2 linked regions of the Danio rerio genome follow. The protein of the gene in region 1 binds, or shares a complex with, the protein of each later gene. Links are inferred from orthologs where the notes say so. Each region holds a gene or a part of one and is shown in the gene's direction. Other genes may lie near its edges.

What was found.
Region 2: taf1a (region 1) and polr2h share a complex: the UniProt entries of both Homo sapiens proteins name them as parts of the pol I pre-initiation complex. The link is inferred for Danio rerio from reciprocal best matches to the Homo sapiens genes TAF1A and POLR2H.

What each region holds. Positions count from the first base shown.
Region 1 is NC_133195.1:55,096,494-55,100,908, forward strand, and holds the start of taf1a (TATA box-binding protein-associated factor RNA polymerase I subunit A), read left to right. Parts: upstream 1-1,369; 5' UTR 1,370-1,653; coding exon of another isoform or gene 1,654-1,746; exon of another isoform or gene 1,747-2,032; intron 2,033-4,415. UniProt on the Homo sapiens protein: Component of the transcription factor SL1/TIF-IB complex, which is involved in the assembly of the PIC (pre-initiation complex) during RNA polymerase I-dependent transcription.
Region 2 is NC_133197.1:38,621,501-38,625,834, reverse strand, and holds the start of polr2h (DNA-directed RNA polymerases I, II, and III subunit RPABC3), read left to right. Parts: upstream 1-1,205; 5' UTR 1,206-1,511; coding exon 1,512-1,584; intron 1,585-3,106; coding exon 3,107-3,190; intron 3,191-3,706; coding exon 3,707-3,800; intron 3,801-4,095; coding exon 4,096-4,179; intron 4,180-4,334. UniProt on the Homo sapiens protein: DNA-dependent RNA polymerase catalyzes the transcription of DNA into RNA using the four ribonucleoside triphosphates as substrates.

The sequences.
Region 1 (4,415 bases):
GAGCTAAACTCTCCAGGACACCAGCACTCCAGGACCGAGTGTGGACACCCCTGCCCTAAAGAATTGATAGCCCCACCCTAAAGAATGAATAGCTCTGCCCTAAAGCACTGATAGGCCCTCCCCAAAGGACTTACAGCTTCACTCCAAAAAAAAAAAAAAAAAAAAAAAAAAAAAAAAAAAAAGACAGCCCTGCCCTAAAAGAATGAGAGCTCCACCCTAAAAGACAGCTCTGCCCTAAAGGACATGTAAATGGCAATTGGGGAAAGGTAGGTTATGGTATTTGATTAAACTTTACAAAGACAAACTAATTTACAAATTATGAAGTGCACAGTTACATCATTTAGAACTATACACATATATAAATAAGTGTACACTTTTATTTGATGAGGATATTAAGCACTTTTCATTTCAAGCACATACCCCAGGTGCATTTTTCAAACCTTTAAAACACTTTACAAATTCATCTGAATTAGAGAGAGAGAGAGAGAGAGAGAGAGAGAGAGAGAGAGAGAGAGAGAGGGATGGATGGATGGATGGATTGATAGATAATATATCATGTCTTTAAAACACATCCACATTAAATCTTTCACTTTTATTAGGGTTAAACTCTGTTATGACCACACAAATCTCATGTTCTGAACTGTGGTGGTTGCCTGGTTATTATAATCCCAACTTGACATTGCAGATCCTGCGATGTGACTATTGCAGATACACAAATTGCGATATCGATGCTGAAACCAAATACTGTGCAATTCTTCATCTATGGAAAATATTTAAATGGCATGTTTGCCCCAAGCCCAACACTGAATCAGTCATTCTCTCTCTTAAATGTTTTTACTCCCATCTGAAATGTGCTAATTTTTTTTTTTTATTGATTTATTTTGTTTACTCATGAAATGGAATCTCCATGCATTCCTTCTTCAATCACGGCTTAATCAAAAGGCGCAGATGAACATCAGCACAGAGTCGGCTCTTAAAATGAGTTTAAGATAATATATTTTATTATGTTTTACTTATTTATTTGTTACTAAACAGGAAGTATTTATGAATCAACACAATTACATTTTCAAGCAGTTTCAACATCTTTGCACATTTCAAACCTTATACACTAGATTAATATTCAAGCACTTGTATGAACATATGTTATATGACACCTCGGCTTCACTTGCTGACAGATGAAGTGTTCACAATATATTAGTAAGAGGCAGATTATGAAGCCCATGTGGCACTTTCTGACCCTTTCTGCACTCTTAGACCTATTTGACAAATCCAAAGGGTATTCAATGTGCTCTGAACCTTATCACCAGACACATGCACCAATAACACAACAACAGTGTTGCTTACTGTGGACTTTCACCTCTGGTAAAACACAGTCATCACCAATATGCCTGTAATGAACACACACAACTCCGTTTATATTAGCAAATTTAGCCGTCTCGGGATATTATGCGACCCCTAAATGGACTTTACCAACTGCAACAGAATTACTATGAAGACCCCAATGAGGAGGATTTAAAAAATACAACACTGCGACCTAATTACACAATTCTGCACGGATATTAGACGGAAATTGTTAATTCTGAACAGTTTAAGCTAGCATAAATCAAACAATTGACTCCTGAAGGCAGCATTTTGAGTCTAAAGGGCACTTACTTCGTGAAGTCTGGACAGGATGAAGACGAAAAAGGCAGTGTTTTCTATCTCAGCTGGTTGAGAGGTAAGAATTGGTTGTGAGTCCATCCTCATAAAGCGTTTTAGCTGATTTATTAGCGATCAGAAACGGAGGTTGAAGCCGATAAACAGTGTATAAATGGCGGACCGCTGGTTCATATCGGAAGCCGGTGGATTTTTAATATAAAACCGCTTTGTCGCGCGTGTTTGACACAGCTATTCTGTTTAAACTAAGAAGTAATAGCATAGATGGATAATAAATATATATAAATAGTTAGTATGTTTTGAAATCGCGGCTGGAGTAAGATCAGTGTTGATCTCTTTCAACACGTCAACATTTCAAAACGCTGAGCGGAGAGTCTCTCACTGAGACAAGCACTTCCACTCTGTGTGCTCGCAGTCACGTGATGCTCACAGCGGCCTCTGATTAGTCAGAACACGAGACCGTTTGATCACATTAGCAGAGATGCTAGTTGTTTTGACAACTTGGAGTTATGTTAACGATGCTTTTTTAGAGTATGTACAACAACATCAGGCTAAACTGAATAACAATGCTTTGGAACTTTGTTTGGCTATGGTTTCATACACATATGATTCACGTATGGAGTTTTATTAGCAAGTTTAGCATGCTGCGCTATTGGATTTCATTCATGCAAGTACACTTAGCAGGGTACTCTACAGACCTGAGATGCCCAAACTTTTTCTCATAACGGGACAAAAATCAACCTTAATTGAGGGCTGTGGGCCGAATATATACCAAACCGAATATATATTTATTCCAAACCATAATACATTAAATTTACCATGGGTAGTTTCCTAATTAGTTCACTAATATAAAAAAATACGTAGAAAACATAAACAATCACATTTATAACACAATGGAGTTCAATTCTGAATACACTAGTCGAGCCTTTGCCTTGATTTGCCACCAATGACTTGTGCATTGTCTTCTATCATTCATGTGACCCTATTTAAATTTTAAAAGTCTGATTTATTGAAACATAATCAGCATGCCTGCTGAAAAATAAAGCTTATACCAGCCTAGGCTGGTTGGCTGGTTTTAGCTGGTAGACTAGCCTGGTTTAAGCTGGACAAAGCTGGTTTTGGCTGGGCTCCCAGCCTGGCTAGGCTGGTCAAGCTGGTTTTAGCTGGTCATCTCCCAGCCTGACCAGCTAAGACCAGGCTGGAAATTGCTGGAAACCAGCCAGGAAATGGCCAAAACCCCTCTAAAACCAGCCTGGTTGACCAGCTAAAACAGGCTTAGGCTGGTTTAAGCCGTTTTTTTCAGTAGTGATACGCATAAAAACAAAGGTATTCGTCCCAACAACCTTCCCATCATTCTCCCTATCTTTACAGATCAGACGGTGGGCCAAATCAAAGGTTACCAGTCCCTACTTTGGGCATCTCTGCTATAGACACAGACACGTGACCTGATGCAGAATTGAACAAGAAAGTAATTTTACTCTGCAATGATCAATAATAAACTGTATTGGATATTATTTATGTGATACACATATTAGTTTTTTAATATAAAAAAACATCTTATATTTTTAATATAAAATACAAATATATATAAACTTATGACTGAATTAAAACATATGAGTACACTTTTGTGTTGTATTCATAAATAAAAATATGGTATACACCAGTGTATACCATATAAGATTATGAAACTATTATTATGAAATGTATATAACCAATGTAACAGTTGACAAGAATTTAAAGACAGAAACAATATGTATATATTTTCAAATAGAAATGACAAATAATAGATAAATAGATGTGCAAGGGATTATTAAACTTTTGTAAACATACACAAAAAATGAAAACTAGGCTAAATTATTATAGGAATTAATATAATTGAAGCTGAATATATATATATATATATATATATATATATATATATATATATATATATATATATATATATATATATATATATATATATATATATATATATATATATATATTTATTTATTTATATATATATATATATTTATATATTAATATGTATATTTAGGAGTCGGACACAGTCAAAAAATAGGTAAAGCCTCCCTAAATTCACACAAACATCATTCTTGAAAGATAGCTTGATATAAATTGTGTCATTATTTATAACCGTTTAATAAAATTTTATAATAAATATTAGAAGGTTTATTCAACATTGGGTAGGAGATGCAAAATGTTCTTGCAATTCTGCAATCAACATTCAAGAAGCCATTTTAATCAGATTTATGCTACAAAAGAAGACTAGGGCTGCACAATATTGGAAAAATCTGACACTGCAATGTTTTTCAGACCCCCTAGTTTTTCATGGTTCCGCAATCCCTTAATCCATCGTAAAATCCACAAAAAAAGAAAAAAAATTCTCTATTTAAATGCAAAATAATTGCAAATTTTTTTTAATAATTTCATAAAACACCCAATTCCAAACCATATAATTAAATTATATTCATTTCAGTTTGCAATTAATTGTCTTACATGACTTACAGATGTTGCATACACGTGATGTATCTCTCGAAAAAAGGGTCTCTCACCTGTGCCCTCACAGTCCTAACATTACATGAGAGTGGGGTAAAAACGTTTTCCAGCCTGTGTCATAAGCAGACACAGATGAAACGCAAGTGATTTACATGTGAAGTCTGAGCAAACATATAACAAACGGAGCAATAGAACAAACAGAAAAGCAAGCAGCTTACAATGATGAAGATTGCACAAAAGATGACGGCCGCTGGACGTGACCG
Region 2 (4,334 bases), on another chromosome or scaffold:
CTAGTAACCGCGACAGGAGTTGGGGTGTCGGAAATGAGTGTCGTAAAAAAATTGTAGTTTTAATGTGGTGTAGATTTGTAGTAATTTGTGCTTCGAATCTTTGAATTTCGTGGTTAATGGGAAATCGCTGCATTATTTTTTTAGTAACGTTTATTAAAGTAATATTAACATAGTAATAGTGACAAAGCACTTGTTTTAATATTGATATATGCTAATATTGATAAACAAATAACAATTAAACAAAACTAAGAATTTATGAAAAAAATGCTTTATTAAAACAATCATGTTTATTCATAATTTAAATTCTCATTTAAACTATTTATGGTTATGAATAACTAAACTAAAATAAATAAATTATATATATTTATAATATATTTTATATTTACTTACTAACTTTTATATTCATATTAACCTTTATTAAAGCAATTTTACATGACAAATATTACATGCATTTCTGTACATATTTATAACATACAAAGTTGTATTTTAATATGTATTGTTAAAAAATTATTAAATTATAAATATGTACACAAAACATTAATAAATACAAAGTCAGTTTTGACAAAGATAATAATAATAAAAATAATAATGATGATAATAATAATTTTATTAATGATAATAATAATAATAACATATTATGTATATGCATAATATGTTGTTATTATTATTATCATTATTGTATATATATATATATATATATATATATATATATAAAATATGCATTAATCTGGTATTTATGCAGGTATGTTCACTATTATGGAGGACGGATTAGAATGTGGACAGATTAATAATTAAATTAATAACATGGTTATGGGGCATTTATTTGCGTATTAATTAATTTATTATTTTATTTATGCAGAAATGTGTATATTAATTAATTAATTAATTTATTTATTAATTTGCGTATTTATGCATTTATTGTTTTATTTATACAGGAATTTGTGTACTTATTTATTAATAAGTTAGTTAATTTATTTGCTTATTTATTTTTTTATTTATGCACGAATTTGAGTATATTTTTATTTATTTATTTATTTGCGTATTTCTTTGTTTATTTATTTATTTACTTATTGTTTATGCAGGTTTAATCCTCCATATACTATTAAATAAACAAACAAATAAATAAACAAATAAACAGGCAAAAAAAAAATAAAAAGATCGAATACGCTACTGTCGTAAAAAGCGCGCCACGAACCGGAAGTAGTAGTGAATCAAGTGACCAGAGACGAAGCACATTGTTTCGCGGCATGTTTCATATTTGTGTTGAACGAAAAGAAAGTTGCTTCATTTTACAGTAGTTTTATTATTAATATTTCTGAGCTGGGACGAGTTTACGCACAGTGTATCTGCAGGAAGTGCACCAGAAAGCGCTTATTCAAAACAGCATTCAGCAGGAGAGTGTTTGAATGAAGCGTCTCCGTCGAGTTTTGTGTTGATTTCTACATAATTTAGTTTTCAGCGGGATTTTAATTCACCAAACTGAGCATTTAGTGTATCCTGCTGGAGTATAAATGGCTGGGATTCTGTTCGAGGATATCTTTGATGTGAAGGATATCGATCCTGATGGGAAGAAGTTTGACAGAGGTGATTCATTCATTCACTTATTTATTTACTGGATAAAACAAAAGTCTCTTCAATGTGTTTTATAACGTTAGTTATTGATAAAACTTACAAACAGCATGAAGATTTAGATTGAGGAAAAGTTGGTTTATATTCGCACATTCCTTCATTTAACGTTCTCCATGCTCACATGTAAATCACATGTAAACATACATGACTTCACTATTTAAAGTTTGCAAATTATACTTTTATTTAATGATATTATTAAGGAGAAAGTCTAAATGTGCGTATATAAAACTACCTCAATAAGGTTTATTTGTTGGTTCGATTATTTATCACACAATAATAATTAGACTTATTGTATACTTATTAATACTACTTTAATGATGGAAGTTGAAGAGCTTAAAACTTTTTAATTTTTAATTTAGCTCATTTTCTTGATCATATATATTTAATATTTATTTTAAATGGAAAAATATGAATATATTAAATTAAAAATGTATTTTTTTACATTGTCAATGTCAATTTAAATGCAAATAAAACAATTTTATTGTTATTACTATTATTAATAATATTAATTATTATTTGAGATTTTTTTAATATATATTCTCTTTAATATTCTTTTTGTTGATGCTGCCTAAATAATATGCAGTGATCAAAATTAAAAATAAAATCAAAACATACTGCGTAAAAGGCATATCTGAAGGCAGAGCCGTTTATTTAATTACTGTTTTTATATATAGAGGTAAAGTTGGTTTTATATTTGCACATTCGTTCATTTTGCAGTCTCTATATTGTTGACCATGTTACTTTGAGTTTTCGATCGGAATTAGCACGCAAGTATGACTTGTAAACAACATTAACACTGTTTATCTGAATGTGAACAATGTTGTACTTTGATAGTCATTTGCTGCTAACATGATTTCCCTATATTTAGTATTGGCAAATAATACTTTTTCTTAAAATATTATTAAGGAGAAAGTCTGAATATATCCGAATATAAAACCAACTTTACCTCTGAAGATTTTTTTTTATCATACAATAATAATCAAGCTTATTGCATATTTATAAATACTACTTTAATAATGGATGTTGAAGAGCTTAAAGTTTTAATTTAACTTGTACATTTACTTGATCATATATATTTAATATTTACTTTAAATGGAAAAAATATTAATATATTAAATAAAAATTAATAGTATATTTTTACATTGTCTAAATGTCAATTTAAATGCAAATAAAACAATATTATTATTACTATTAATAATAAGTGTTTTTAGTACTTAGAATTTTTAAATCTATATTCTTTAATATTCTTTTTGTTGATGCTACCTAAATAATATATAGTGATTAAAATAAAAATAAAATCAAAACAAACTGCGTAAAAGGCATATCAGAAGGCAGAGATGTTTATTTAATTACTTTATTTATTTATTTATTTATTTATTTTTTTTTTTTATAAATCAACCACTATTATTTTTCCCCCCTAAAAGTCTAGAATTCACTAAACACTCTTGATTTGTTGTTTTGTATTTGTGATGATCAGTGTCTCGTCTTCACTGTGAAAGTGAGTCTTTCAAGATGGACCTCATCCTGGACGTCAACATCCAGATTTACCCTGTTGATCTTGGTAAGTCACTGTTCTTGCTCTCTGTGTTGTTCTCTGGGCTGCATAGAGGTAAAGTTGGTTTTATATTCACACATTCAATCAATGATGTCATGTGCAAACAACCTATAATCCATTACCTTTTTACATTTTCATATTGTTACTTGTCTACTTATCTGTTAATTTGGTCATTGCATAAATAAATGATTAAAAAAAACAAACAAATAAAGTAATTTCTCCAGTGTTTTGTTCAGACGAACGAAATTGTATGATTATAAAAAAGGAGGCGTGGCACCTAACCCCACCCCTAAACCTAACCGTCATTTGGAGATGAGCAAATCGTACTAAAATGTATGAATTAGATCGTTCGAATTCGTACGAATTAGCCACTAAATGAAAAAGTTACGAATTGCCGTGAGATTGTGTTGGTTTTATCAGCACTCCAACAGTATTTACATGTTTTTCCGGTATCCTGCTGCCCTAGTGATGATAATGTTGTGTTGCTGTCATATGCTAATGAGGATGATGTCATTGTGTCAGGTGACAAGTTCAGACTGGTGATCGCCAGCACTCTTTATGAGGACGGGACGCCGGACGATGGAGAATACAATCCTCAAGACGACCGGCCGTCCAGGTCATACATTACTCCTAAACTAAATCTTAGATATTTCATGTCTACGATCAAATCAAATCAGGCCTTTATTTACACATACACTTTCGTATAGTGAAATAGAACCCCAAAAATGTAAATTAATTACTAATGACATCATTAAAGTTGTTTAAATGACTTTTCTAGTGTCATGACTGATGGGCAACTTTTTTTAATCAATGAGGAATTGTCTTAAGTCACTGCTACTTTAAATCCACAGAAAGGTCAACACACAGACAATAGTAAATGAAACTCGGTGGTGTTTGTTGTTGTTTTGCAGAGCTGATCAGTTTGATTATGTAATGTACGGAAAGGTTTATAGGATTGAAGGAGATGAAACGTCTACAGAAGCCGCCACACGACTGTGAGTGTTGATTTATTTGCCTATTTACTACTTTTTTACTGGGATTTTACAATATAGGTGAATGCATGAAATGTGAGATTTTTATCAAGGTATTTTAAATAAAGTAAACAATTAATATGCATTGTTATTATATATCAGCTGTGGGGGAAATTAAT